4 linked regions of the Notamacropus eugenii genome follow. The protein of the gene in region 2 purifies or fractionates together with the protein of the main gene of each other region. This does not show direct contact. Links are inferred from orthologs where the notes say so. Each region holds a gene or a part of one and is shown on either strand. Other genes may lie near its edges.

Region 1 (7,061 bases), on a different chromosome or scaffold from region 2:
TTTTCAGTTCTTTGCTAATCCCTGAAAGCTACTATAAATATTTTTGTACATATGGGTCCTTTTCTTCTTTCTTTGATCTCTTTGGAATATAGACCTAGTAGTGTTATCCCTGTGCCAAAAGGCTTGCACAGTTTAGTAACATTTTGGACATAGTTCCAAATTACCTTCCAGAATAGCTGAGCCAGTTCTCATCTCTGCTTACAGAGAGCTGTTCTTTCACAGCTCCTCCAGCATTTGTCTTTTTCTTATTTTGGTCAGATTTTCCAACCTAATGATCATAATAAAGTTATGATCATTATGTATTTTCCTCTATCCTATTCTCTTATACTTTTCCATCTCTTTATTTCCTACTCCCTCTTTATAAAGAAGAAGAGGGTTGTGAGAAAGAAGTGTGCTCAGCATAGGTTTCTAGATTTGGTACAATTTGCTTCTGCTTCCTTGCCCCCCTTTCCTTCACCCAGAGCTCAATTCCAAATTCTTATATTTTCTTTCAAACCCCCTTTTCAGATCCTCTTTAATTTGAATTTTTTGTTTAGGACTGATCCCTTCTTTAATCTATTCTATTTTTTCCCCCTTCCTCTCTCTTCTCCTCTTTCCCTTCTATTTCCCTGTTGAATGAAACATATTGCTGACCGTATCTCTATGTGTGTATGCTTTTCCTCCTTTGATTAGTTCAGATGAGAGTGAGGTTTAAGGGTTGTCTGCTCCCACCTTTCCTCTTTGTATAGACTTGTACTTGCACACTCAGATTATGTAAAATAACTTCTCCTATCCTCTCTCTTTCCCTCCTCCCGAATGCATTTCTCTTCTCTTCCCTTTCTATCAAAGCATAACAAAACCACTCTCGAGATATCTGACTGATCAGATTCCCTTTATGACTCCTGATGATAAGACTTTGACGGAACACAAGTATCATCTTCCCATATTAGAATGTAAGCAGTTTGTCCTTGTTTAATGCTTTATGATTCTTTAATTATATCTACCTTTTTATATTTTATTAACTCCCGTGTTTGAACTTCAGTATCTACACAGCTTTAGTCTTTTCATCTGAAATGCTTAAAAGTCCTTTATTTTATTAAAGATCAGTTTTGTTGGGTACATTATTCTTGATTGTGTCTATTTTTTTTTCCTCCTGGATATCATATTCCAGACTTTCCATTCCTTTATAATGGTGGCTGCTAAATTGTATGTGATCCTGACTGTTGCTCCTCAGTCCTTGAATTCTTTCTTTCTAATTACTCGTGGTATTTTTTTTAAATCTGGAAGCTCTGCATTTTATCCCTCCTGTTCCTGGGAGTTTTCAATCTGAGGTTTATTTCAGGAAGCGACCAATTAATTCTTTCATTTCTTTTCTAATTTTTCCTCTAAAGCTCTCATTTCATTTATTAAAAAATTTATTTTTTTTAAAAGCAACTCTTATTTCATCTCTACTAGATATTCTAGTTAGCCTTGTGCCCAAGCTGTGTTTTTCTTGAAATGTTTTCTTGTTTTGGAGTCATTCTCTTCTTCTGGGTTTGTGTCTTGAGGATCCTTGTCACCATAACAAATCTTTATGATGAAATTCTTTTTTTTATTTTGCTCATTCTTGCAACATACTTCCTGACTTTGTTAGGGCCAGGTTCTGTGTACTTCTGGAGGTAGTATCTGAATTGAGCTTTTGAATGTTGTGTTATTCTAGAATCTCAGGGGCAGTTCAGGCTGGACACCTATAAGCTTTTAGTGCTCCCACAGTGGTCTGATCCAAGTCTGATCACGTACTTCCCTTCTGGTTTGAGCTCTGCAAGCTCCTAATATTGGTTTTGGCCTGAGCAACATATCTATGGACTTGTCCCTGGGTGGAGCTCCAGGGGACTGCTGCTGAACTCAGTCCGCTGAAAGATTTTATTGGTTCAGTGACAGAACTGTAGGCTTCCCTTTGGTCTGGGTTTCCCTCCCTGGTTATTTGACTGCAGGATTCAGACTGGGCTGGAGCATGCTGCTCCTCTCCTGTGGTCAGTCACACAGTTACTGCTTGGTTCTGAATTTGCACCTCACTCCATCTTTAGCTTATGGCCCATGATGACTCCTTGACTTGGACCACCATCCCTAGGTACAGGTCCCCTCTTCAGTTCTCCTTGGATCTGTGGTCTGAAACTGGGCAGTGAAGAACAGAGTAGCCAATGAAAAGTACTTGTTCCTGAAGGTTTCACAAGGTCAGGCAGTTCTGGATGGCTCTAAGACCTTTTCTTTCTCTGTATACAACCTTGGTCTTCTTTTAGTCCCTGAGTTGGAATACTTGGTGCAGCAGTTCCTAACTATACTCCATCCCCAGTGTTCATAGATCTCTCTCTTGATTTGTACTGGAAAAATGATTCACTGAGATCTTTTCTTGTATTTTCCTATTAGGATTTTGGTTCATTTTCTAGATCTTTGCAGAGGAGTTTCAAGGGAGAGCTAAATTGCACTTCTTTCCCCTGCACTACCATCTTGGCTCTGTGGAATTAGGATTAGAAATAGAATTGGTAGTATGGGAAATGAAACTGATTGAACCTAGGCATTCATTTGCCATTGCAAAAGTAAGAGTTATCATCCTAGCTGACAGAGTTTTGTAGGACCCCCAGTCAAAAAGAGATGCCTGCATCCTGACTTAACCCGTTGACAACATCTGGCCCAACTCAGAGGATCCTTGTGAAGAGCCTGAACATCCACCAAGTGCCCTGACTGACTCAGCCCAACAGCAGACTGACCCTTCCAGGTGAGACAGGGCACTCAAAGAGAAGCAGCCCACCTGGGCTGCTGGTCCATTGGAGATGCTGTACTCTGTAAGAAAATGACTCTTCAGAGAGCCATCCAAAGCCGAATAACTGTGGAGCAACTCGAAGAAATCTTTCTGGGCAAGAAAAAGAAAATCCTGAGATTCTGGAGTTGTAAGTGGCCTTAGTTACCTATGGCTCATCACCACCCACTTTAAGTTCTGCCCATATTTCCCTTTCCTGGAATCTGGGTGTGTTTGTGGGAGAGCAAGCCCCTGGTGATTGGAGGGAATGCTTATAACTACTGTCCTTGCTGTGCTATTATCTTTACTGAAGACCAGACCAGACTCTACTTGCTAATTAAGGTGACCTCTCTGCCACCCCTCCCCCCCCATAATCTATACTACAATAGCAACCCATAGAGTTACCCTTAAAACTCTGGGAATAGCAAAGCCCACACTTCCGGGGCCCTAAACTAGCGTCGGTGTGAGTGAGCCCTACAGTGTGTGTCATGTATGAGGTAGCCTCGATTGAGAAGTCACTGCAGCTCTGAGACTGAATATTCCCCTCTGTAAAATGAGGGAAATAGGAATAGGGGTAGCTGCCCCCTCCCCCAACCCCAGGGTTGTGTCTTTCCAGATGCTCTGTCCCAAATCTCCCCCTTTTAGAAGGCATCACTAGTGATCTCATCCCAGATCGCAGGCCTCCTTTTTGGATAGAGGACTCTTAGATCGAGAGAGGGGAAATGACTTGTCGATGGTCACTCAACTAATCAGTAACAGAACCAGGATTCAACTCTGGTCCTTAGAGGCCTAGATCCAGGGTTCCTTCACGCTACCTCTCAATTGACCCTCATTTATTTTTCAGTCAAAGTCCCGCAAAGTTCTCAGGGCACCTCCTTTCCCCTCGTATTTAGATGCTCTTCTGTGGAGTTTTAGAGAGTGGAGTTGTCTCTTCTGTAGAATGAGGGGGTGGACGAGCTGACCTCTGAGGTCCCTGCCAGCTCCGGGCTCTGCTTCTGTCACTTTCCCTTCTCTAGGCCTTATTTCCCTCTTCTGTGAAAGGAGGGAGAGGAGGGGAAATGGGACCAATTGGCCTCTTAAGTCTCTTCCAGTCTTGGTCTCTAGGAAAAGGGCTAGACTAGACTATGAGTCCTCACAGGCCAATCCCGGCATACGAGGAAGGGGCCGGATTGAGAGCCCCCACCCTCGTGGCCTCTTCCTTCTCCGGCTCCTTCCCCACCACCTTTCTCTCCTTGGGCTCCCTGTCCTTTCCCGGACTGACCCTCCCTGGCGGCCCCTGTCTTCCGCCCCCGCCCCTCTCCTCCAGGCTCGGGGAGCAGATGCGCCCCCTCCCCTCTCCTCCCCTCCTTTCTCCTCCCCTCCTCCCCCTCTCCCCTTCCCTCCCCATCCCTGCCCCTCCTGCCGCTGCCGCCGCGGCCGCTGCAGCTGGTGATGCGATTCGCCATTGGATTAAAAATAGCCTGGTCCCCCCTCCCTGCTCTCCCGCGCCCCGCCCCGCCCGGGCTCTGGCCGCCTCGCACCGTCCGCCTGCCCCCGTCTGCTCGGCCGCCCGGGCCCCGCAGCCCCGCTGCCCTGCCTCCGCCTCCTCCCGCTCCCGTGCCGGTGCCACCGCGGCCACCGCCTCCTCGTCCTCGTCGTCCTCCTCCCGCGCCCGGCCCCCGCGCCCGCCCTCCCTCCGGCCCTCCCGCGCGCGCGGAAGCATGCAGCGGGCCGCCCTGTTCGGCAGCCCCGGCGGCGGCCCCGGCGGCGGCAGCGGCCCGGGTCCTGGCCCTGGCCCCGGGAAGATGGCTGCAGGAGACCTCGGGGAGCTACTGGTCCCTTACATGCCCACCATCCGCGTCCCCAGGTCCGGCGATCGCGTCTACAAGGCGGAGTGCGCCTTCTCCTACGACTCTCCGGTGAGTGCTGGCCAGGCGCGGGCTGGGCGGTGGGGGGAGGTGGACGCGGGGTGAGAGGTGGGGGGCTCTGCCCGAGAGAGCCAGCCCTCGCTGGGAGCCAGGCAGCGGGGCGCCCCTCCTCCCGCTCCGGCCCCGATCACACTTGGTGATGGTGCACAGTGCACCCACCGCGCGCATCCACTTTGGGGAGCTTTGGAACTGAGCACCCGCCCCTCCAAGTCCCCAAGCTTGGGCTGCGGGAGCCAGGGAGCTGCTGCCGGGAGCTCTCCTTCCGATCCAGCAACTCTAGCGCCCTTCCTGCAGTTGGCTTTCCAGGCTGGAGTTTGGGGCCCCCCTCACCCACCTCCCAATTCGGCCCCAACCCGATGAACCCTCCCAAGTGCACAGTCTGCCCCCGGCCCCCAGGGCTGTAGGAAGTGGATAGCACCCGGACACACACAAGCAGCACCTTCTTTTTCTGGGACTGGCGATTCTGTTTAGGGATTCCTAGTCTCTGGACCAGCCCTTCAGAGTTCTGAATTCTTCCGTGATTTTGGTGGTTCCCCTCCACCCCCCTCCCCTTGCTTCCTTTCTGAATGACAGGAAAAAACAGTGCCTTGGCACAAGTAGTTCTAAGGTTCGAGTGCATCGTGATTACTTTTACTAAACTTCCTTCTCCCCTTCCCCCCCAACGTGAAGTTTGGGGCTTGAAACATACCAGCCCAAATTTGAAAAACTTTAGCCCAAATCTTGGCCTCAGTGGCTAGAGGAGGAAGTGAAGGGTAGATTACAGTTGGCAGAGCCAAGTATGAGTGGTTGGCTGGTGGCTTTCAGATTTCCATGGTTTTTGTGTGTGTGTGTGAAATATAAAGAAAACAAAACCTTCCAAAAACAACTGAGTCCCCCTTTGAGGAGTCAGAAAGCATTTCCCAAGTCACTCAGCTGTGTGGCGTTTATCATGTTTTTTTGAAGACTGGCTATTTTTACCCACACCCTTTGGAGCTCATATGTCATCCAGCAGGTCTCCCTCTTGCTGCAGCGGGCGGGAGTCCTATTGGGGAGGGGGGGGGGGGGTTGGCTGTATCTCTCCTACACTCAGCAACAAAGCAGTGACAGACAACCTTTGTCATACAGTCATCGGGAAGGCAAACCAGCTTGTGGGACACTCCAGAGACATCTTATCATCTTGCTAGACTTTTTTTGGTTTCAAAGTACTTTTTGCTCCCCGGCTAACTAGGGACAATTCATAGGATCATAGCTTAATGATCTTGTAATCTAACCCTCTTATTTTGCGAGTGAGAAAAGCGAGGCCGGAAATAGTTTATATGGATGCGGATAATTTGTGAACTGTCGTCACTTTTTTTTTTTTATGACTTTTGAGTAAGATCACAGGATTGTGGCTGATCATAGGGACTGTTTTTGGCTTTTCTTTGTGTCCTTAGTATAGTACTTGGAACATCTTAGATGTTTAAAAATTGTTTATTGGCTAATGTACTAATAAGCTGGAAGGGACTCAAAACCAATTTGGTCCAGGCGCTGTCATTTTACAGGACAGGAACCGGAGGCCTAGAAAGGTTAGGTGACTTGTCACATAGCTAGCAAGGGCCAGAGCCAAGACTCCTCTAGAGTTCTCTGACTTGAAATCACTTTTCCCCTTCCATCCATATAAGCTGCTCATTTTATTTTAAACTTGAGAAGTCTTTCTGAGCCTTTCTAGGACCATCCCTTGAAAACTTGCTAGTGGTTCTTTCTTAATCTTTGAGACTCTGTTGACCATGACATCTGAGGCCACTGCCAAGAATGCCATTAGAATTTCCTACTATCAACAACATATTTTAAAATAACAGATGTTGTGTCCCATGTTTTTGTGTTTCTCGTCTTAGCTCCTGAAAGGGTTGAGATGGATGGTGATGTCCATGAGGCAAAAGCTATTGACATGTTATAAAATATTAAAAAAACCGCCAGAACTTTCTGAATTTCTTAGAATATTAACTTGGTGGCAAGGTGAATTGGAAGGAGTTGGATTTGGAGTCAGAGGTCCTGGGTTCCAATCCTAGCACTGCCACTTCTTACCTATGTGGTCTTGGGCAAATCATTTATTTCTCTGGGACTCACTTGTTAAAATGGAGGATCTGGACCAGATGGCTCCTGAGGCTCTTTCCAGCTTCCAATATTCTGTTTTCTCTATTAATGTGCCATAGGATGCTCCCAGAGGAGTGTTTCTTTTAATAAAAGAGTTAGTTAACAAGCATATATTAAACTCCTGCTTTGTGCTAGGACTATGCTGAGTGTTTAGGATACAAATAAAGGCAAAAAACTCAGGCTATTCTCTGAAGTAGCTTAGTTTAACGGGAGAGACAATATGCAAACAACCATGTACAAACAATATATATTCAGCATACATTGGAGATTATTTTAGAAGGAAGGCA
Region 2 (6,948 bases):
GGACAACTAGTTCCAGATTTCAGCAGAGAGGTAAGGGCAGAAGAGGTAGATTTGAGACTTATCAACAAAGATAACTAAATCCATGGGAGCTGATGAGATCACCCAGTGAAGTACATAGGGAGAGAAGAGGAAGCACAGGATGAGGTTCTGTGGAACATCTACAACAGTGATGTAAAAAGTGACCAAAGACATTTTCAGAGTAAGCTGTAAAGACATGTATGAACTGATGCTGATCAAGAGTGAAATCAACAGAGCCAGAAAAAAACATACAGTAACACTGTAAAGACAATTTTGAAAGTCTTAAGGATTCTGATTAATGCAAGGACCAAACATGATTCCAGAATATTCATAATGAAAAATGCTATCTGATAGAAAGATGATAAACTTAGAATAAAGAATGAAGCATTTTCTGGACAGTCATTTTGGGAATTTTTTTTCCATCAAAGGTCTCATTTTTCTTTCTTTTACAATGGGGAAGGTGAGAGAAGGATTTTGGTCCATTAAAAAAGTTAAATAATATAAAATATTAAATACATAATACAAATATTAAAATATATAAAAAACAAAGTTTTTAAAAAGGAACACATAACACAGCAATTCACGTTTCATTATCTCTCCTCCCTACTGAAGAATAGGTAGGTCAGAGTGTTTTTCTCTATCCAGAATATCTTCCTTAAGTAGAGCTCTGGCTATGTCAGCCAAAAAGGATTTCCTTTGTTTTAATGAAGTTGCTTCTAACTTTATTTTATTTTCATTAATTTGTTTTCAGTTTTCTACAATCACTTTCATATATCTTAGATTTTTTTCCCCTCCATCCCTGAGTCAGCATGCAACCTTATATAGGTTCTATGCATACATTCCTATTAAATACATTTCCATCTTAGTCATACTGCATAGAATTAAAATGAATGTGAGAAACCACCAAAACAAAACATAATACAAGAGGAAATGGTCTGCTTCATTCTGCAATCCAATTCCATAGTTCTTTCTCTGGATGTGGAAGGCATTTTGCCTCAAGAGCCCATTGATAATATTTTAGGTCCTTGTCCTGTGAAGGACTAAATCTACCAGAAAAATTCCTCATACTGTGTACAAAGTTCTCCTGGTTCTGCTCTTTTCACTCAGCATCAGTTCATATAGGTCCTTCCAGGCCTCTCTGAAGTCTACCTGCTCATCATGTCTTACAGCACAATAGTATTCCATTACATCCCTACCACAACTACTTATTCAGCCATTCCCCAATTGATAAGCATCCCCTCAATTTTCAGTTCTTGGCCACCACAAAAAGAGCTGCTATAAATATTTTTGTACATGTGGGACCTGTTCCCATTTTTATGATCTCTTTGGGACATAGCCCTAGAGGCGATATTGCTGCGTCAAAGGATATGCACATTTTTGTAGCTCTGTGGGCATAGCTCCACATTGCTCTCCAGAATGGTTGGATCAGCTCACAGCTCCACCAACAATGAATTAGTGTTCCAACTCTCCCACATCTTCTCCAGCATTTGTCATCTTCCTGTTCTGTCACGTTAGCCAGTCTGATAGGTGTGATGTGGTACTTCCAAGTGGTTCTGATTTGCATCTCTCTAATCAATAGTGATTGAGAGTATTTCAAAAAGGATTTATTTAAGCACCTACTATGTGACAAGGTGTGTGTGTGAGAGAGACTACGTGAAAACCACCTACTAACAAGGCACATACAGAATGAACTGGACAAAACCCACAGAGGTGAGGCACCAGAATCAAGGGGGATTGTTTGGGGCTTGGGCGCCAGAAAGGCCAGGAGGAAGGGATGAGTTAGAAGAGAATTACAGGCCTAAAGAATACCCGAATAAAGGGGGGCGGGGGACACTTGGGTTTTCCACCCAGGGCCGTACCAAGCACGGGGCAGGCCTGGGGCGCAGCTCGGACAACCTTCACCAGCCTCCATTTAGAGCCACCACAGGGGAGGGGGAGAGGAGGATGGGAGGAGGCCGCGCAGCACCGCGCCTCTCGTTATTACGGTTAGGAACAGGCAAAGTCAAGTGCGGCCTGCAGGGCAGACGCCCCCCACGCGCGCCCCTCCGCGCCCCCGGGGGCAGGTCTGTCTGCCGAGGAGCAAGGGCCCGCTCCACCCCCCGCCCCCCGCCCGCCTCCGCGGCCCTCTCCCCTCCCCCTCCCGCCGCCGGGACCCTTAGGGCGGCCTAGGACCTTGGGGAAGGACCAGGGCCGAAGGTGCGGGAGGCAGAGGGAACGACGCCTCCCCTCTCCTCCCACCGCGGCCGCGCGGGGGATGGGAGCGGGCTCCGAAGCGCTGGGGGGGGGGGGGGGGGGGGCGGGGGGGGTAGGGGAGGCGGGAAACGGAGGCTGTCTTAAATCCTCTGAGACGGCGCGGCACCGGACTCACCTGTTTTATATACATGATTCCTCGCCCCCGGCCCGGGAGAAAGACCCTCCCGGGACCCGCAGCTGCTCCTCCGCCAGTCAGGTGAGCTGAGTCTACGACCCCTCCCCCACGACCCCGATCCTTTCCCCGGCCAAACAAAATGGCGGCCTCTGAGGAGGCGGTGTCCCCGTCTGGATCAAACCATCGTCGCCGCACGAGCAGGGAGGAGCGGGTGCTCCGGGACACTTCGCTGCCTTTCCCCACTCGTGACCAGCTCCGGTCGGACTCTGCGTGGCAAAGTCGTATTTGTGTCTTGGACGCAGCCTCCCTGGCTTCGAGAATAGGCTCTCGACTTTCCTCCCGGACATGCTTGGGCTGGTCCGTGTCCCCCCTCTAGGGCGGAAGCCAGTGGTAGCGACCACGAGAGGGGAAAGGTTCGGCGCTAAAGGCAAGCGTCTTCAAACCGCGAGGGGAGGGGACCGCGAAGATGAGCCAGGCTCTGTACCACGTGGTTTGAGGGGGGCGGTTAAGAAGAGACGCCAAGGTGGAACTTCGGCGCGGTGGCGCGTCGCTGTTTACTTTTGGAGATGCCAAGGCTTGGGCGCCGCGGGCCTCATTCCCTGGCGCGCCGGACAGACTGCCAGCCCGCATTTATGCCGCCTAACGGACGTTCCGCTTCCGCCACTTTGGGGGAGAATTTTGCCTGGGAGCACGTGCGCGGCCTTGGTTTCCCAGAGATCGTCGCGTGCGGCTGACGCGGAGGAGGGGTGGGGGGGGTGAGAAATTGACATCTCACCCACCCGTTGTCCTCTTTACGGGCCTCGTGGGAACGCCTCTGAAGGAGAAGCATCTGTGAAACCCCTGCTGTGTGCAGCTGCCAGGGACCCCATCCCGGTCATCCCTTCTTGCAGAAACCCCTCTACCTGTGAGATCTCCTTGTTCCCTTGTTCAGCCATGCCCCGCTCCTGTGACTGCTGGACCATCCTGCCCATGGCAAAGAGACCGGACTGAAGGCAGAAAGAGGTTATGTGACTTGCCCAGGGTCCGAGGCCACACTTGACCTTGGGTCTTCCTGTTTCTGTTGAGGTCAGGGAACCCTATGTTGAGGTTTAGGGTGTTTGGGACCCCAAGATAAGTGCACCCAGGGTCCTGCCAGAATGAGTTGGACTCAGGCTCTTATTCTGAAGAAACAATTTATTTTAAAGATCCGCCCTGCTGGGTTGACTCTTAAGAAGCCTCACCATTTGTGAAGCTTGTATAGACAAGGGGCCAGAGAGAATCTGAGCACCTTCATGGAGACAAGAAGGATCTTATATACGGAAAGACTGTGGGAGAAGTCTGGGGGTGGTCTAGTAGTCTGGGGTGATGGGAGGAGGGGATTAGGGAGGGTCTGGAGGAGGATCTTGGTGGGATTGGGGTGACTGGAGGTCAGAACCAAGAGAGTTTGATTGTGATCAAGGGTGGGAAACAGCTGGAGGCAGTGAGGAGGTCTAGAGTAGAAAGTAGGCCGGGGTAATCCAGAGGTCAAGGCTGGGGAGCAGCCAGAGGCTTGGACAAGCAGATCATGAAAGGCTTGTGACCTCAGGCCAACACCGGATTGAGTGGGGAAGATGTAACTCTGGGGGTTCCCAGAACTTGTTCCCCATCATTTCCACTGGGCCACCTAACTGCCTCCTATCTCATTATATGCTTACAAACTTGGTTTATCCTGATTTGATGGGTAAGAAAAATGACACCCAGAGAAGTGAAGTGATTTATTTAAGATTACATAGCTAGTAAAAGCTAGCTTTGCCCACCCTCACTGCTCTTTTTACACCATGCTGCCTCACTTATCTTAGCTTGCTTGATGGAGTAAGTTCCTGGATGGCACAAACTGCATCTTATTTGTCTTTGTAAATCTCATAGCAGATAGATAAGGCACTTATTAAGCTTATTATGTACCAGGCAACATGCTAAATACTGGTTATACAAATACAAGGGAGAAAAAGAAGCCTGTCCCTGCTTTTAAGGCACTCACATTCTGATGGGAAAATCACAACATTAAGGGGAGCAGGGAAGAGAAAGAAAACACAGGCAAGGCCTTACAAGGGGAGGAGGAGCTGTCCAGTGAGTGTTAAGCTCTGAGGGCATTGAGCAGCACAATTGGAACTCCTCACCAATCAAGAGAGCAGGCATTAGAGTGGAGTCATTCTAGTGGAGCATGAATTGAGGTGGCAGTGAAGTAGCCCCCAGCAAAGGCCTTTGAAGGCTCTGGTGGTACTTGTCAGGATGATTGAAAAATGATTAAAAGAATAAATATTAATTACCTTGTGTACTGCCTTCCCATTTAATTTCTGAGCTTTATAAGGACGAGAAAAAAATACATACACATGTATATTTTTATTTTCATATGTGTGTATGTGTGTTGTGTAAACTTACATATATTTACATATATACGTGTATATATGTATGTATGAATATTCCCCACAAAGGAAATATTGTACCTCAGAGAGTGGCAAGTATAATAGGAGAGAGTACTAGCATTTGAGGGAACCAGTATATCCAAGGAGCAACCTTCAGGGAAGACCATGAACTTATATGTGTTGGTGGAAGCAAAATCTTACAACACTCCATTCAAATTATGCTAGTTTTTCCTCAAAAGGTACTGATTGGTTTAGGGAATTAAAAGCTCTGGGTCTGATTTCTCTTCCTGGTTGCTTGACTACAAAATTAGAAGTTTGACTTAGATGTGCACTAGCATGTACAAGTCAAAGGCAGGGGAACCAATTTGAGGGGTTTTCAATGCATACTATTTTTTCTTTTTTTTAAATTAATTTGTTTTCAGTTTAACAATCACTTCCATAAGTTTTCAGTTTTCTTCCTCTCCCTCCCCAAGATGGCATGCAATCTTATATGGGTTCTACATATACATTCTTATTAAACACATTTTCACATTAGTCATGTTGCATAGAAGAATTAAACAAGCGGGAGAAACCGTGAGAAAAACCAAACAAAACAAAACACAAGAGAAAATAGTCTACTTCATTCTGCATTCTGATTCCATAGTTCTTTCTCTGGATATAGATGGCATTTTGCATCAAGAGACCTTTGGGAATGTTCTAGGTCCTTGCATTGCTGTGAAGGGCGAAGTCTATCAGAAACGGTCGTCGCATGCTGTTTCTGTTACTATGTATAATGTTCTCCTGGTTCTGTTCATTTCACTCAGCAACGGTTCATATAAGTCTTTCCAGGTTTTTCTGAAGTTCAACTGTTTGTCATTTTTTTATAGCACAATAGTATTTCCATTGCATTCATATACCTCAACTTGTTCAGCCATTTCCCAGGTGATGGGCATTCCCTTGATTTCAAGTTCTTGGCCACAACAAAGAGAGCTGCTATAAATATTTTTGTACACATGGGACACTTTCCCATTTTCATTATCTCTTTGTAATACAGCCCTAGAAGTGATATTGCTGGGTCAAAGAGTATGCACATTTTTGTAGCCCTTTGGGCATAGTTCCAAATTACTCTCCAGAATGGTTGGATTAGCTTACAGCTCCACCAACAATGAATTAGTGTTTCAACTCTCCCACATCTTCTCTAACATTTGCCATCTTCCTGATTTATCATATTAGCCAACCTGGTAGGTGTGATATTGTTTTGATTTTCATCTCTCTAATCAATAGTGACTTAGAGCATTTTTTCATATGACTATAAATAGCTTTAATTTCTTCCTCTGAAAACTGCCTGTTCATATCCTTTGTCCATTTTGCCCCAGAACAGAGCTGCCTAATACTGCTAGCATACAACCATGCTCATTGGGTCCATTATGAATTTACATTATGGAATCCCAACTGATTTGATCTCTCAAGAGAGCATAATAATAGCTATAAGCTGAATTATTGAATTCTGTCAGTGCATGCTTGTGAGTGTTTTGTGTTTCACCCTCATTTCCTCTTCCCTGAATATTAAAATGGTCTCCTGACTGGTCTCCCAGTCTCAAGTTTTCTCCTATCTATCCAGCCACTTTGAGACCCAGTTGGTTTACTCCTGTGACAGGGAAGACTTGACCCTGTTAGCACTAGTGCTCCCACCATCCTGAGTACCTCACATGTGGCCCACTATATCAGGATATCTCTGGCCGTACTTTATTTTATCCTCTGACCAGCTCCTTCTTAGCCACCTTTCCCTCCAATTCTGTTGTCCAGTTTTAGAACCATAATCAAAGCAATGTTGCCATTGTTTTATAAAGGTTAGGCTAATCTATTTATAACTGTTCACAATCCCTGTAATGTTCCTATGCAAAATATCTCTGACCACCAGTCCTCAATTAGAATGTGAGCTCCTTGAAGGTAGGAATTGTCTTCACTTTTGTCTTTGTTCCCCTAATGCTTGGCACATGATAAGTACTCTTTTTTTTTTCATTCTTTTCATTTATGCCTTTTTTCATGCTCTATGTAGTTTCCAAGTTAATATTCCTAAAGCACAAGTCTGACCGACTCTCCTCAAGAATCTTCAGGGACTCCCAATTGACTGGAGAATAAAATATAAACTCCTATCTGGCACTGAAAACCTTTCATGATCTGGCTCCAACTTCTCTTTCT
Region 3 (7,627 bases), on a different chromosome or scaffold from region 2:
AACAAAACACCGACACTGAAATTCTTGGGTCATGAAGTAGTTTCCTTGTAGAACCCTAGTTTGGATATTTACATATAAACTATTAAAACACTAGGTGGTGTACTAGAGGAAGAATTTCTGGTCTGCATTTTAAAGATTTCTATGATTCTGCAATAGTATTCTAGAAAACATACTCAAGTATCTGACACAAAGTGGATGTAAATAGAATAACCAAATTCAAAACCACACAATAAGAGTAAATATCTCTACTTAAAAATGAACACAATTGGGAAAGAAAAAAACACATTACTGTGTATTCAGGTGAAATAGTGATAGTACCTAATGCTTGCCACTTACATTTAATTTTTGTAAATTATAGTAATTTCTAATCAGTATCATAAACATTAGGATTTAATCTCAAATCCATGGTCTCTCTTTTAAGAATTATACTTTGGGGTGGGGAGGGTGGAAAAGCAGGGTAAGCTTCCTAATGACTGGATCTATGTGAAATTTCTGACTGGGACTATGTCCTATGTAAAATTTCTAACTGCCCCAGCTTCTATCATATAGTAGGAACCTAGTGTTTGAGTACATAAGTAACAGAACGGTCTAAAACTAGAAGGTAACTTCCTGCTTTTCAAGGCAGTTTACATCACAGGAGCCTTCAAATGAAGGCTGACTGACCATTTGCCAGGAACGTTTTAGATTAAGTCTGACATAATTTGGACTAGATGGCCTCTGAGGACCCTTCTAACTCTGAATCTCTGATTCATGATACAATTTAACATTTTGGCAATACAATGATTGAAAACATTTAATACCAGTACCCACTAACTATAAAGTTAGGGATACATTATTCCTATGCTATATACGCCATGAAGTGAAAATATTAATAAGTATTTTTCAATTTTATACCATACTATAATGTAATAAGTAATGTGTATTGCCCAGACCATGATATGAAGTTTAATGGACAGCCCATGGTGCTTTTGTAGTGACCGAGATAGATAGGGCAGATCCTGCAAATGGGCACAGAACTGTGAACAGAAGAGTGGGCACGATGGCCTTTGAAACTGAAAAATTATTTTGATGACCTCAAGATTTTCCCCAAAACAAAAGGCCAGTTTTTTAAAAAATATCCTCATTCTTCCAACATTTGTATGGCTACAAATCAGAGCATACTAAAGAAGTGAAATGGAGGATAAATAAAGGGCAATGGAGAGGTACGTGTTAACTGTGAGCAAGTTGCATAACAAACTAGAGTTATAGACAAGCAATGTTAAAGATATTATCATTGATCATTGAAAAGATGGGCTGTTCATGTGGCAAGAGGGAGAAATGACTGATAGACAAGTTGTGGTTCAATCTTATCCTCACCAAAGGCCCTCCAGGGTGTTAAGTGGACCCCCTGTGGTGAACTTAGAGTAGGACATGCAAGAGTCACATAGGATGGACAGGTTTGGACTGGGTTGCAATCTATAGTAGTTGGAAGGCACATATATCAATGAGAGTAAAGATCCATTTGAGTACTCTAATGTGAAGACCTAAGTTGGCATTTTATATATCATAAGCAAAGGACTGTATAACTTAAATTACCCAAATATGTTGAATTACTAGTTTACTTGCTAAAATTCAGGAGAGGATATAGAAGCAGCATAATGATCCTCCAAAGCAGACTTAAATGATGGCATTCTGAAATTAAGTGAAAATATATGATGTTTGCATGTGACTTAAAACTTGTATAAGACTAGTAGGTAAGACCTTAATTGGAAGAATATCTGTAAACCATTTTATCTTATTTGTGAGGTTATAATCTTTTTTATGTCATGAACCTTATGCAGAAAATATAATTTATGGATATTAATTATTTGGCATATATACACTATAAATTAAACAGCTTGAGGTTTAGGTGCAGGTATTTTTAAGCAGCTTTGTACAAGCAACTAGAAAACAGGTATTTTAATTTCATTTCTATCTCTAATACCTTTCAAGTCATTGTTATTAATTTAAATGACGCACCTAAGTTTATTAGAGGTGATCAAATAGCCCTAAAGAGGTGATTTAAATAGCCCTGAAAAAAGTGAACTAAAAAGTTGTATAAATCTTCAGATTAATTCAGGCTTCAGCTTTCACTATTTTTTCCCCAGAATTAAATAGTAAAAGTAAAGTGGATTAGCATTTTAATTGTCCTAGAGAATAAGAGAATAGTAAGCTTTTCTTAGATGTGGACCAAGATTAGGCATACACAGCCCCTTTAAGATTATCAGTAGGTCTTTTTAATTCCCTCCCACCCCCCAGTACAGTGAACAATTGTGACTTCTCTAGAATAGACATCTTCTTTAGGTTACTCTGGTGACTAGTCAAAATGAGGCAAGGAGTCTGTCATTAAGGAAGAGAAAAGCTTCCCCTAAGACAAGCGATAGAACTGCCCGAGCTCACGAACCGTCCTCCATAGGGCCCTCAAGCACAAGTCGTCACCACAAACTCGTCTTAACTTGTTTCTGGTGAGTGTCTTCGGTTCGTCTGGTATCTTGATGCAGGACTTAAAGAGCTTTTCTTCCTAGATTTTCCGTCCTTTTCAGAACTTCTCCATAAAGCTCTCTCCGGTGAATATTGAATGAATATTGAATAGGAGCATTGTCTAAGAGAGACCAACTCAGTCTCGGGGTTCTCGGACTGCATTTCTAATTCACCTGGTAACTGATTTGTTAAGAACGCCATTCACTTTTAACAAAATATTACAGATATTACTATTTAAATCAAATAATGGAACCTGTTTATAATTTTACCAAATTTATTAAAATGGAATAAAACACGTCAAGGTCTAAACTCAGCTAAAATTGAGCCCAACTTTAAATTAATCCTTCAACAGCTGTCCTGCTTCCTCCGAACAAATAAAGTGAGCAGCCTGTAACAAGTATCTCTGAGGGAAGCGGGAGGAGAGGGGAGGAAGGGCCGCGGAGGGGAGGGAAGGGAGGGGAAGGGAAGGGAAGGGAAGGGAAGGGAAGGGAAGGGAAGGGAAGGGAAGGGAAGGGAAGGGGGCTGCTAAAGAGCTGGGAACAAGGACAGCCTGAGCTCACCAGCCAGGTCAGCCCTCGGGTCTAGGACGGGTCGGGGGAGCTCCAGACCCGCGGCGCCCCCCACCCATCACCCCGCAGACCGTGGCGAGGCCGGCCCCGAGCAGCCCCTCACCCCCGGGGCGCCACAGCTCCATCTAGCCCTGAGCGGGGGGTACACACGGGGCCGCCAAATACCTGCAAGCACATGGAGCTAACTGGTCCAGCTAGGTCCAGCAGGAGAAAAGGAGAGCCTGGCATCGGAACGTGCCCTGACTTCCCCGGCACAGCGCTGCCCACAAGCCCATCTCCCCAGGAGGGAAACCAAGCCAAGCCCCGGCCTCTCGACGGCGGACCACGGGAGAGGCGACAAAGCCAAGGAGGGCGTTCGAATCCACGCGGGAGCGTCCTCGCTCCGGGCTAGGCCGTGTGCGGGTGTGCAGGTGTGCACACGGATGCGTGCAGCTCGGTCAGCGGGAAAGAGCCGCACATCCACCAGGTCGCGAGGTCACCCCGAGAGTCCAATGGAATCGCGGGGGTCCGAAACGTGGCCCCCCCGAGCGGCGACCCCTAACCCCGGGGAGGACCCGTCCTCTTCTCTTCAGCCTTCAGTGTCCGGGGCCTTGAAGCCCCCTCCTGGGAAAAGTGTGTGTGTGTGTGTGAGTGTGAGTGTGAGTGTGTGTGTGTGTGTGCGTGAGAGAGCGGGGAGGGGTGGGGGATGGGGAGGGAAGCCACCCCAAAACCTTCCGAGGGTCTCCTCCGCTGAAAGCCCGACGACGCCCGAAGCTGAGGTCTTCCCATTTTCCCCTAGGAAAAGAAGGACCAGAAGGAGGGCGGCAGTAACCGGCCCGGTCCTGGGCCACAGCTACGATAGAGGGCAGAATCCACACCCACCCAGGGCAGCGGCAGCAGGAGCAGCGGCGGCGGCGGCGACGGCGGGAGAAGGAGGAGAAGGAAGAGGAGGGAGCGAGGCAGAGGCTGCTGAGAGAGGAGGAGGAGCGGTCGGCGCGGCCGCCGCCGCCGAGGCCGCCGGCCCAGGCTCCAGCGGCGCAGGCCCCGGCTGTCGGCCCCGGCTGTCGGCCCCGGCTGTCGGCGGCGGCGGCGCGAGCGGCGACGAGGGAGACTGGCGGCGGCCGGGGGCACTGGAGTAGTAGTAGTAGCGGCGGCGGCGGCGGCAGCGGGCTGGCGGGCGGGCGGCGGCGGTGGCGGAAGTGGAGTGGGGGAGAGGGGGAGGTTGTTGGTGTTTGGCGCCGGTGGAGGGAGTCATTCCTGCAGCTGCACTTCCGGTCGGCATTTTGTTCTGAGAGGGAGAGACCGAGCGAGAGACACACACACACACACAGGGCTCCTTCCCCCCCCCGCCCTCCCCCCCCTCCCTCCTTCGGTACCGACTCGCCCGACACCGCCGAGCCGCAGGCAGGGACGCCCCCGCCGAGAGGAGGATTGGTTCCCGAGCCGGCTGCGATGCCCCCTCGGTAGCTGGGGCCCCGGTCGGGTGTTTGTAAGTGTTTCTATGTGGGAGAAGGAGGAGGAGGAGGAAGAAGAAGCAGCGATTTGTCTTCTCGGCTGGTCTCCCCCTGGCTCTACATGTTCACTGCACTGAGGAGGAGACGGAAGAGGAGCCTCAGCCGCCCCCCCTCCCGGCCCGGATTATAGGCTCCCCACAGCCGCCTCGGCCTCGGCCTCCGCACCGATTCAGACGCCGATTCGCCCAGGTAAATTCCTTCCTTCCCTTTCTTTCGGCGGCCGCGGCGGCGGCGGGGCCAGGACCCGGGCTCCTCTCCTCCCCCTCCCGCTCCCGTCCCCGGCAGCCCCGGGTCTCCTCGGCGGAGCCAGCGCGGAGTTGTCCGCCCCGGGAGCAGGCGCCTCGGCCGGCGGCGGTTGGAGGTCTTTCCCCGCCGACTTTTGCGGAGGAGATTCGGTTCCTGCCGGGCGGCCGGGGAGGCGTAGGCCCGGCGGAGAGCGCAGGCCGCGGGCCAGCGGAATCTACTTGAGCTCGGGGATTAGGAGAGGCTCCGGTCAGAGCGGAGCGATCGCTTCTCAGTGACAGGCCTCAGCCGAGGGAGAAGCGGTAGGAAGACGAGGAGGCGGAAACAATACCCGGAGCGGCCAGGGCGCCCCGATCCGCTCTATATTTACAACTTTCCCGGGGCGAGCGGTGGGAAAGGTCTCCGCGAGACAAACAACCCCCTCCTTCCCCCAGTGACCCTGGGCCGGGAGGAAGTAGTTTCAGTTAGAGCGAGGCAGATGTGAAATGCCCAGGAACGAGCCCGGGACGCGGCGTTGGCCTTTTTTCAAACTTGTTTGGGCGTGCAAAAGTTAACCGAGACTCGTTTCCCCTTTTAAAGGCATTCGGTCCTCGCTCACGGCTGGGAGACGGAAACCCGAGTGACATAAACAGTAGTGCGCTCCGTGAGGAGCCGAACGCGGCTCTCGGAGGCGGGGGAAGTTGTTGACAGGTACACCCCGGCCCTGGGGCTCGGAGGGAGCCTCGGAGGGGCCCCGCTGTGCCTGGGAGCGGGGCGGTGGGAGAGGGGGGACGGAGGAGAAGCGCTCGGAAGGACAGGCGTCCCCCTGGGTGTCCCGTCCCTCTGGTGTCAGGGGAGATCTTTTGGAGGTCTCGGGACTGTCATTGGCTGTGTGTGCCCATGATGTTTGCCTGGGTAATGAGAGGTGTCACCGTAGTGGGTCGGAGGGGTCCGAAGTGGCTCGAGGAGAGGAGCCGTTCTGAACCAACTGGAGGTTCTGTGCAGGGGATGGCTAGGTGGTGGTGTATGATGGAACTGGAAAGGCAAGTTTGTGAAGTAAATTAAAGAAACTTGACTCGTGGAAGTGGCATGGAGAGCAGGGCTTACCTGGGCAAGGCTGTTCGGGTACTTTTGTGTCGTGTCTGTTTGTTTTTGAATGTTCAAGTCTTTAAGGAGCAACGTTGCTCAGCACTTCTCTTAAGTTTGTTCACTGATGTCACACTGGCCCAAAAAGATTTTTTTCTTGCAGCTTTATTAAATTTCCATCGTCACTGTCCAATAAGTAACTTTCCTGGGGATTATTCTGGAGTTTAGGGTCTGGCTTGCGTCGAACTCTACCATAGTGTCTGCCAACGTTCGGATCAATGTTAAAAAGGGTCAAGTTAATATAGCTGTCACGTCCCAGGCATGTTTTTAATGCCATAAATCCGTGTAGTAGTCAGTAGCGTGTCCGTGATTTGTATTGGTCAGGGAGCAGTTTGAATTTTAAAAAGCCTGAAGCTCCTGCTGAGCCCCAATCCCGGCCTCCCTCCCTCCCACTAATCTCCCATTCCTGTCTTTGTGCTGCCTGCTCCTGTTCGACACTGTTTGCAACAGGGCCTCAGGCCTGCTGGGGGTGGGGGTGGGGGCGGGGGAGGGGGCGGGGGAGGGGGCGGGGGAGGAGCAGGGGAGGGAGGGAGGGAGGGAGCAGCGCTGCCCATTCTGAGAAAGCAGCTCTTGAACACAGACACACGCGCACACACGCACACACACGCACCCCCCCAAAGCGCTTACCGCAGAAATCCTCGGGCTGGCTTTATGACTTGAACTGAACAGCTGTTTCGCTTGGGGGTCTGAGACGTGCCCAGTTCACAGCAGAGGACTGGAGGAAAAGTGGTTGTGCTGGGTTGGTTTTCATCATCAGAGAGCGACGCACCAGCCCTGCTGTTTGTTTCACGGCGCTTCAGAGAAGTGTGCTCGGGGGTTAGAAAGAGTTGAAAAAGCAGTCTTCTTTCATGTTGGTTTTCTGTGTGTGATTCCTGAGTTATAAGCAGAATCACGGATTAGTTGTTAGCTTGTCCCTGAAATACTGAGGAAAAAACTTTGTTTTCATATCAAGTGAATGATTAAATTTCTCTTTCTCAGATTTTTTCCCCCCAAATTTGAAAGCAATTCCCTCAGAGCTCCTCAGTATACAGTTCATTCCTCTTCCCCCAGCCCCCATCTGTTAGAAAACTAGCCTCCAACAAATCATTTAACTGCAGAAGTATTTAGATGTAAACAAAGACAAGGCTATGCTCTCCAGATTTTTTAAGATCCTCTGAGAGAAAGGTAGCTCAGTGATATATTGGGAAAGGGGCAAACTTGAGAAAAGTTTCACCTGACAGTAAACACCTCAAATTTATTTAATAGCAGGTTGAGGGGTTTTTTGTTGTTATTTTGTTGTGGCTATTGCGTAGTCATATTAATCAATTTATAATAAAACCAGATTCTAGAATCAAGAAATACTTCAAATTAGGGTTAAAACTTAAGCAGTTAATAATTTTTAATATCTGAGTTACTTAGTATGGTATGACATTTTTGGGTTTTGTGCCTTGGCAAAATTTGTAACAGTAAAAAAGTTAAGAGAATTTTTGGTGATATGGTAAATATGTTAAGGGGCATCTTAAAGTTGGAAATTAAATATGAATTTCATTAAAGAATGTGCAATTTTATTTGCTCTTTTTAGAACTAGAAAGTAAAAGCTTTAAAATCCCCATCATAGCTCAATTCCTTTGCCATCTCCTGTTGGAAGCTTTTCTTGATACCCTTAGTTATAAATGCAATTATCAGATATAGCCATACTTGCTTTACCTAAAAGGGGAG
Region 4 (7,888 bases), on a different chromosome or scaffold from region 2:
CCACAAACCCTTTTCTCCCTTACCTGCTGAAGTCTTGTCTATTCATTAAAACCCAAATCAAATGCCATCTCCTCAAAGAAGTCTTTCCTCCTCACTGGTAGGTGAAAGACTTTTTCCCCTTATGACTGCATAACACTTTGTTTTGCATCTTTCTGATGCACTTCTAACCTAGAACTGGGTATTATCCCTATGGATATTTGTGTCTTATCCCCCAGGAGACTGTGAAGGCAAGGCATATCTCCTAGCCAAACTTCTTTTTCTCCCCCAAAGTGCTTGGCTATTCTACACAGGGTAGGTGTTTGGGGATAACAGTACTTTTTCAACCTTAAAATTCTATAAAATTGTGAGGATATTACTGTTATTTTATAAATGTTTCTTGAATGAACAGTCAATTTACTGAACCTCTCTGGACTTCCTTATCTATAAAATGCAGGGGTTAGACTAGGTTACCTTTAAAAATTTTAGTTCCCTAAGTGTATGAATCCATCTCTAGTGTGCTTTATTTTATTTTCCTTCCCTCTCCAGATTGCTTCCTTTTGCTCACCTTCCATTACAGTGGGCATTTGGTTGGAAAGACTGAGGTACATGGCCCTGACTGCCGACTCATAGCCAAACCTTCAGGAACCCAGAATAGCATAGAGCAGGTGATGCTACCTTCTGCCAGTGTACTCTCTGAACCAGCTCTCCAGTTATCCACAGAGAACCTCCTGAAACACTTTGACCGTGGCATCTTGGTAGCTAGCAATTCCCGAGGTCTTTTTGTGCAGCGCCTCTGTACCATTCCCATTTCCTGGACTGGTCCCTGCACTCCGTCCGGGCCTGGACCCCATCTGCTACAGGACAAAATATGTGTGGAAGTCTTTAATTCTGCCAAATTCTTCCAAGGTGAGAACTGTTCTACTCTAGCCCAGCCTTACCTCTAAAGACCCTGACCACTACCCCCTCATCTTGGGAGTGTCCTAATTTTTAGAATCCTGCTTCCTCCCTGCTATCAGTCCTGTGGTCATTCTTAGCCCCACTTTCCCAAGTTCCTGGACCTGTGACTGCTGCTTCTCTGTGTCCCTTCACTCCCCAATCCTGTTAGACTCTGGGCTGGTTGGGCTGAGGCATGGTGACCAGGGGATCACATTAGCCATCTTTCTGTGTGTCTTCCTTTCTTTGATTCCTGCCCACCCCCTCCTTTTCTCTTTTCATTGTGTCTTATTTTCTGTCCTTTTTCTTTCTCTCCTTATCTTTCCTCCCTCCATCACTTCACTCCTCTCCCATATCCTATTCTCACTCTCTTGCTCTCCACTGCTTCCTCTCTCAAATTTCTTTCTCTCTTACCATTAGGCCTAGCCCAATACCGCAAGGGCCTGGCCCCACCCCCTGAATTCCAGGTGACCCTAAATTTTTTGGAGGAGCACTGTGGTCCTGGATATACTCATAAGAATCTCATCACAGTCCAGGTAGTATCACTATCTGGGATTGGGTAGAGTCTCTGGGATAAGGAGGGATTCTTCCAGAAGGAATGAAGGTTAGACTCACTGATGTCTGTTCTTCCTGGTACAGATGGAGCAGGCCTTTGCTCGATACCTGCTGTAAACTGGACTTGTAGAAGCGGAGTGTTCTGTTCCCTTGGCATCTGTTACACTCATCTTCCTCCTCCTTTCCTTTGACTGTTCCTTATATGTCCTTCTGGTTGGTGGTTGGTGTTGGTGTGTTCTATGAGTTGTATCACTATGCCTGGATGGTTTGGTAAGGTGGTGGGAAGTCCCTGGGAAATCCTAGCAGCTCAAACTCACATTGCCTTTCAGTTTCAAACCCTAAAAATAACTTTAGATCTACTGTCAAGGTTTTTGAATAAAGTTTTATTGAAAATGAAACTATCTGGTTTATTGAGAGGAGATTGATATATCAGGGAAAAGCAGGATACGGTCAATGGAGAGTCAGGAGAGGAAGCATCTTGCCATTTAAAACCTGGGGTTCTTAACCTGAAATCCATAGAGGATAGATATCAGGTGTTTAATCAACTTGGAACTTTTAAAATATTTTGATAATTGTATTTCAATAGAAGTGGGTTCCTTTGTAATCCTATGTATTTTATTTTATGCATTTAAAAACATTCAGAGACAGACCCATAGGCTTCAGTGGACTACCATAATACACACAGAAAAGTTAAGAACCCTTTATTTAAACCAAGGGTGGGGAATCTGCGGCCTTGAGGCCACATGTCCTCTGGGTCCTCAAGTGTGGCCCTTTGACTGAATACAAACTTCACAGGATTTTTGTTAAGGATTTTCTTATATGTTATTTTTATATTAATATATAAACATATTTATAAATATATATTTGTAAATTGTATTAATATACAAAATCCTTTTATTAAGGGGATTTATTCTGTGAAGTTTGGATTCAGTGAAAAGGCCACACTTGAGGACTTAGAGGGCCGCATGTAGCCTCGAGGCTGCAGGTTCCCCAACCTTGATTTATATTCTTATCTACTAGGGTTCTCTTCTGGGTCACCCCTTCCCCTCACCCCAATCACATCTCATATTTCTGTATTCACAGAGGTCCTTGGGACTGACCCTGTACACATCACAGTCCATACAAGCCGCTAAAGACCAAAGTGGGCAGGTCATGTTCCCAGAGAGGTAGGTCAGGGGATAAGTTCTAGCCACAAAAATAGGTGTGCTGGTCTTCTGTAAAAGTCAGTTAGTCAATATATATTTAAGTCCCTACTATGTGCTTATTGCCAAGGATCAAAAAAAAAGGCAAGAGACAGTTCCTCCCTGGGCTCTAAAGGAGCTTTACAGCCTAACAGGGGAGTCAGGAGGCAAACAGCTGTGTATAAAGAAGCTATCCATAGGACAAATTAATAATCAGTAGAAGGAAGGTATTAGAATTAATTAGAATTAAGGAGAATCAAGAAAGGCTTCCTGTTGAAAGCAGGAGGAAAAGATAAAGATGAAAAGAATTCCAGATGTGGATGACAGCCAGTGAAAAAGACCCAAGTCAGGAGATAAACTACCTTCTGCAAGGAGGCCAGGGTCACTGGATCACAGACTATTGGAGGGCATAATATGGAAGGAGACTGGAAAGAGAGGAAGGGCTTTCCGTATCAAACAGGATTTTACATTTGATCCTGGAGGTGATGGGGAGCCACTGGAATTTCCTAAGAGAGGGGAGGAGTGACATGGCCAGAACTGCGTTTTAGGAAGGCAGTGGAGGAAAGCCTTGGGGCAGTAAGGCCAACCAGCAGACTATTGCAATAGTCCATGTCTCCTGCACTGGGTGCTGAGGACGTGCACTGGGGTGATGACATCGTCTGAGGAGAGAAGGGAAGAGATGTTATGGTGATAAAAATAACCCAGTCTTGGGTAAGAGTGAGGAGTCATGGGGAGCACCTAGATTCTGAACCTGGGTGACTGGGAGGATGGTAATGCCCTCAGCAGTAATAAAGAAGTCAGGAAAAAGGAAGAGTTTGGAGGAAAAGATAATGTTGAGTGTAAGCTATCTATGGAACAACCAGTTCAATATGTCCAATAGGCTGGAGATCAAATAAAAAAGATGGGCTTCCAGTGAAGGAGTGAAGAAACATGCCTTTCCTTTCTTTGTGTGAAACATTCTATCGGAGCTGGTTGTCATGTTGGTTAGTAATGCTGAACAACTTTCTGTCTCCTATTCTTTGTGACAAGGGCTGGCATTCTATGGAGGGAGGAGGAGTGTGTTTGCAAATGAAAGTAATGTAAAAATAAATCAATTAAAATAAGAGGGGAGAAGAAAAAGATAAAGTGATCATGTGTTGAGAGGGAGGCACAGATGACACGTTCCATCGGTATCCTCTCCATGTCAAGAGAGCCTGAGGAAGGAGCCCAGTATGTTGAGTGGGCTCTGGGTCAGAATTATGGAAGGATATGGGCATAAATTACACAGGAGGCAAAAGTTGGGTTTGATCTACATCCCTGGAATACCCACGTGGATGAAGTCACAGAGGCCCTGGAAGACGGGAGTACAGACACGACATGAACTGACACACCAGGAATGGGTTAAAATTCCACGCGGGCTTCTTTCTCTCCTTCGCCCTGTCCCACTGACCTTGAGCTCATCCCCGTGTCTAGGTCAGTTACAAGGCTCCTCATCTGGCTCTGTACTGTTACTTTGTTTCATTTCTACGTCAGTTTCAGAAAGTTACCAACCGAAGGATTACGCAAAGGTCAGGACTCATCGTGCATGGGATGAGTTAGAGCCCCACCCTGGGGCCTGCATCATGCTGGACTCCGCAGGGTCTCAGAACCTTGCAGATTTGGTCTCTGAGGGGGGGCCAGCCTTGCCCACTGCTGAGGACGGGCCAGAACGTTGAATCCCTGGAGCCTGACAGAGTTGGCTCCTTCCATGACACGTTTGGGTGGATGGCTTGGGGACTGAACACGGCGCGGGGGTCTCAGTAATCCTGAAATGAGTCCTGCCGTGGGGTGACTGGAAGGGCACGAAGCCGGGTCCCAGGGGCCACCCACGGATGCATCCCATCGGCCTTCGCTTCCCTATTGGCTGAGAAGGATTTGTTACCAGGGAACAGTTCCCCGAGGCGCTTATTGGTCAGGCAGGACTCTTCCCCAGACTACTGTCACTAGGCGTTGGTGGGGAAGGAGGAAGGCAAGAGCAGACGCTGATTGGTCGCCCCGCTTAATCCGGCCCCCCCGAGGAGCGTTTCTGATTGGCCACCACGCTGTCCCGGGCTGCGGGTGCCCGGCCGCTGAGAGGAGGAGGGGCAGGTCTAGAAGCTCCGGGAGAAGCGAGCGCTGCCTCTCGACATCTTTGCCTGATTGGCCCTTGGCGGGAGGGCCGCCATCCAATCAGGAGAGGCCAGAGAGGGAGGGCGGGGCCCCTGCGGCCGGCATGCATCCATCCATCCATCCATCCATCCATCCATCCATCCAGCGGCCTGGCAGGACGGGGCGTCTCGCTGCGTGTGTGCCCACGCTCCCGGACACCCAAGCCCGGCTCCAGCCTGCCCGGCCCCGCTCGTCTCCCGGTCCTCCCCACAGCTACGTTGCTGTGTCCGTGGGTAGCCCGTGCACCTGGCGGCAGCCCTCGTCCTCTAGCTCTGTCCCGATAACTCCCCTGAGCCCCTTACAGCCCCCCTTGTCCTTTGCATGCCCGAGTCCTTATCGAATTAGTGGGGAGAGCCTTCGTAGCTCATCGCTCTCAGGAGCCCCCTGGCAGGTTTGGGGGGCCCGCTCAGAAAGGGGGGGCAGAAGACCCGGGCGAGATGTTCTATTACCCGAACGTGCTTCAGCGCCACACTGGCTGCTTTGCCACTATCTGGTGAGAGGGTGAAGGGGGCTGGGGGGGGACGAGGCTGGCACAGGGGTGAGGGTGGGACAGAGAGACTGAAGAGTCCGGGACCAAGATTCTTTCTCTGCCTCTAGCCCAGTGTGACCTGGGCAAGGCACTGACTCTTTAGACCAAAATGTCCTTGTCTGTAAAGGGAGGAAGCTGGACTAAACCTGGAAAGGTGCCCTTCCATGGTTGGTACTCTGCGAGCTTGGTAAGCGGTACAGGGCCCCTCCTCCCGCAGCCTCTCCTGGCCGAGCCTTGCCCACTAGGTTGGCTCGTGTGCATGTGCTCTTGGAGCGACTGATAACTTCTGCTCTTGTCTGCTCGTAGGCTGGCAGCAACAGGTGGCACGAGGCTAGTGAAACGCGAGTACCTGAAGGTGGACGTGGTGGAGACATGGTAAGAGCCCCTGCGATTCAGGGGCTGGGGTAAGAGGAAAGTAGATTCCAGAGATAAGAACCGTCACTGCCTGGGGACCAAGGTGGGGGAGGAAAAATGAGGTTTATTGTTTGGGAACCTGCTGGGACCAAGAGCAGAGTGGTGGGGGGCGAGGCAGGGAGGTCGGCAGTCCTCTGGAGATTCACCAGGTAAGGCTGTTGCCCCCCACAGCGAGAAGATCCTGCAGTATATTCTGGTGCAAGTACAGCCATCTCTGCCAGGCATCCCCAGGCCTCGCTTCTCCCTTTATCTCTCCGCCCAGCTCCAGTTCGGTGTTATCCGTGTCTATTTCCGCCAATGCCAGTACCTTGTGGGTAAGGTGGCGAGGGAGGGTGGGAAAGATGACGAACTCAGAGAGATGAGGAGGCAGGTCGCCTCAGAGGGCTCAGGGCTGGCTGGCTGGGCTGAGAAAGCTGAACAGTGCCATGGGAAGAGACAAGCGGGCTTAGGAGGTGAGGCAGTTTGCCTTCTGCCTTCTCACTTTCTATGCCCCTACCCATCCCACAGAGGATATCCAGCACATCCTAGAGCGCCTACACCGAGCCCAGCAGCAGATCCGTATTGACATGGTGGAACCAGATGCGTGAGTACCTAACTCCAAATTAGGTATTACCATTACAGGGCCAGGGATGTGGAACGTTTCCCAACTTAACTCTTGACCCCAGGCCCTTCAATCTCTATGCCTCCTCCTGACTGCAATTTTGGTCTTACCGTGGCCCATCCCTTCCCTCTTTGTCTAACTACTCAACACAGATTTGGTCTCCTACTGCCCGACCCTCTGACCACAATGGAGGCCCTGGAAGATGTTCTGGACCCTTTCTTTGGAGTGATGGCCATTGGCCCTCACCTTCCTAGTCCCTTGGATATCCCACAGGCATGTATGAGACTGCTAGCTATAGCACAAACTAGCCTCCTCAGTGTTGGTGCTATGTCAAACTAGCTGCCTGTGGTGGGAAGCTAGCTACTCACTTGGTCCTTACTGAGATAGCTCAAGTATAGGTCTTCCCCTATCTACGAGTAAGATAGTACTGTGACCCTGCCTAAACTCCCCACACAACACGTAGCTAGCAGTATTCTGTGTGGGATAGAAACCCACCATAACAACAGTTATTTGGCAATGTACATAGGGGTTGGAATTGGGAGAAAAGGTGCTGCATGTCAGGGGGCTTTAGCATTTTCCATTAAGTACAACAGGAAGCCCATGACTAAACCGTATGCTTTGGGCTTTGTCCAAAGGTTCGACACCTCTTGGAAGCTCCCACCCCTGAGATGATTCCTAAAGAGAGCCCTCCTCCAGTCTACCCTGAACCCAGGAAGCCAGGTGAGCAGTTTCCTGGCTCTCAGGAGGCCAGTTAGGTGGCCAGAAAACCATCTTTCTGGGAGGGGACGTAGGGCTGTGGGACTATGCTTGAAACCCTGGTCAAGAGGAGTGGTACTGACATCATCTCCTTCTCTCAGCAATATCCCCCATCACCATCCTGCCTCCTGAAACCATCACTCTTCGGGAGGCAGAGCCAATCCGCGTGCTGCACATTGAGGTGAGCAGGATTCTGGAAATGAGGGCCTAGAAATGGAGGGCAATCATCTCCCTTCCCTCAACTTGAGAGGAGACAGGTCTTGAACTCCACAAGCACGTCCTCCCGCCCATGAACCGGCTATTTCTAGTTCAAGCTTGGAACTAGTCCCAATTGGTGTCTACTTGACTCTCCCTTCCCTGCAAATGTGCCTATTTTGCCCACGGAAGAAATGCATTCATCTCCACAGGACGAGCTGGACCTACCAGAAATCTCCCATCGTGACCTAGACCTGCTGATGGCTGCAGAGGAGGAAGGTATTTTGTCTGAGGAAAAGGCCACAATCCACCCACCCTGGGAGCCCCTCAAGCCCAAAGTACCTCATGTCCCAGAGGGTCAGCCCTCTGGCAAGGGTAGGGTCGGAGCAGGACACAGTCAGGAGGGAGGAAATCATTTAATGAAGTAGCTGAAGGGAAGGAATTCATCCCACCCCATCCCCTCTACGTGTCTCCCTTTCAGCTGAAGAGTTGGTGGAAATTCCCCGGGTCCCTGAGCAGGAAATCCCCCCATGGCTGTCCCCCACACCTCAGGCACGGTGAGTGGGCCAAGGCAAGGCT

Evidence for each region.
Region 1: the proteins of SMC3 (region 2) and USP13 purify together in Homo sapiens (affinity purification with mass spectrometry; 4 studies listed by BioGRID and IntAct, with this or other methods). This does not show direct contact. The link is inferred for Notamacropus eugenii from reciprocal best matches to the Homo sapiens genes SMC3 and USP13.
Region 3: the proteins of SMC3 (region 2) and NIPBL purify together in Homo sapiens (affinity purification with western blotting; 4 studies listed by BioGRID, with this or other methods). This does not show direct contact. The link is inferred for Notamacropus eugenii from reciprocal best matches to the Homo sapiens genes SMC3 and NIPBL.
Region 4: the proteins of SMC3 (region 2) and REC8 purify together in Homo sapiens (affinity purification with mass spectrometry; 3 studies listed by BioGRID and IntAct, with this or other methods). This does not show direct contact. The link is inferred for Notamacropus eugenii from reciprocal best matches to the Homo sapiens genes SMC3 and REC8.

Annotation. Positions count from the first base shown.
Region 1 is NC_092877.1:344,608,516-344,615,576, reverse strand, and holds the start of USP13 (ubiquitin carboxyl-terminal hydrolase 13), read left to right. Parts: upstream 1-4,059; 5' UTR 4,060-4,074; coding exon 4,075-4,653; intron 4,654-7,061. UniProt on the Homo sapiens protein: Deubiquitinase that mediates deubiquitination of target proteins such as BECN1, MITF, SKP2 and USP10 and is involved in various processes such as autophagy, endoplasmic reticulum-associated degradation (ERAD), cell cycle progression or DNA damage response.
Region 2 is NC_092872.1:188,252,197-188,259,144, reverse strand, and holds the start of SMC3 (structural maintenance of chromosomes protein 3), read right to left. Parts: upstream 3,019-6,948; 5' UTR 2,402-3,018; coding exon 2,387-2,401; intron 1-2,386. UniProt on the Homo sapiens protein: Central component of cohesin, a complex required for chromosome cohesion during the cell cycle. The cohesin complex may form a large proteinaceous ring within which sister chromatids can be trapped.
Region 3 is NC_092875.1:423,986,775-423,994,401, reverse strand, and holds the start of NIPBL (nipped-B-like protein), read left to right. Parts: upstream 1-4,617; 5' UTR 4,618-4,750; intron 4,751-5,383; exon of another isoform or gene 5,384-5,494; intron 5,495-7,627. UniProt on the Homo sapiens protein: Plays an important role in the loading of the cohesin complex on to DNA. Forms a heterodimeric complex (also known as cohesin loading complex) with MAU2/SCC4 which mediates the loading of the cohesin complex onto chromatin.
Region 4 is NC_092878.1:9,117,609-9,125,496, reverse strand, and holds the start of REC8 (meiotic recombination protein REC8 homolog), read left to right. Parts: upstream 1-4,879; 5' UTR 4,880-5,251; coding exon 5,252-5,307; intron 5,308-5,649; coding exon 5,650-5,718; intron 5,719-5,801; exon of another isoform or gene 5,802-5,928; coding exon 5,929-6,071; coding exon of another isoform or gene 6,072-6,170; intron 6,171-6,264; coding exon 6,265-6,340; intron 6,341-6,510; coding exon 6,511-6,631; intron 6,632-6,993; coding exon 6,994-7,078; intron 7,079-7,215; coding exon 7,216-7,295; intron 7,296-7,521; coding exon 7,522-7,588; coding exon of another isoform or gene 7,589-7,666; intron 7,667-7,790; coding exon 7,791-7,866; intron 7,867-7,888. Other genes in the region: IRF9 (interferon regulatory factor 9), read left to right, coding at 526-885, 1,333-1,448, 1,552-1,584. UniProt on the Homo sapiens protein: Required during meiosis for separation of sister chromatids and homologous chromosomes.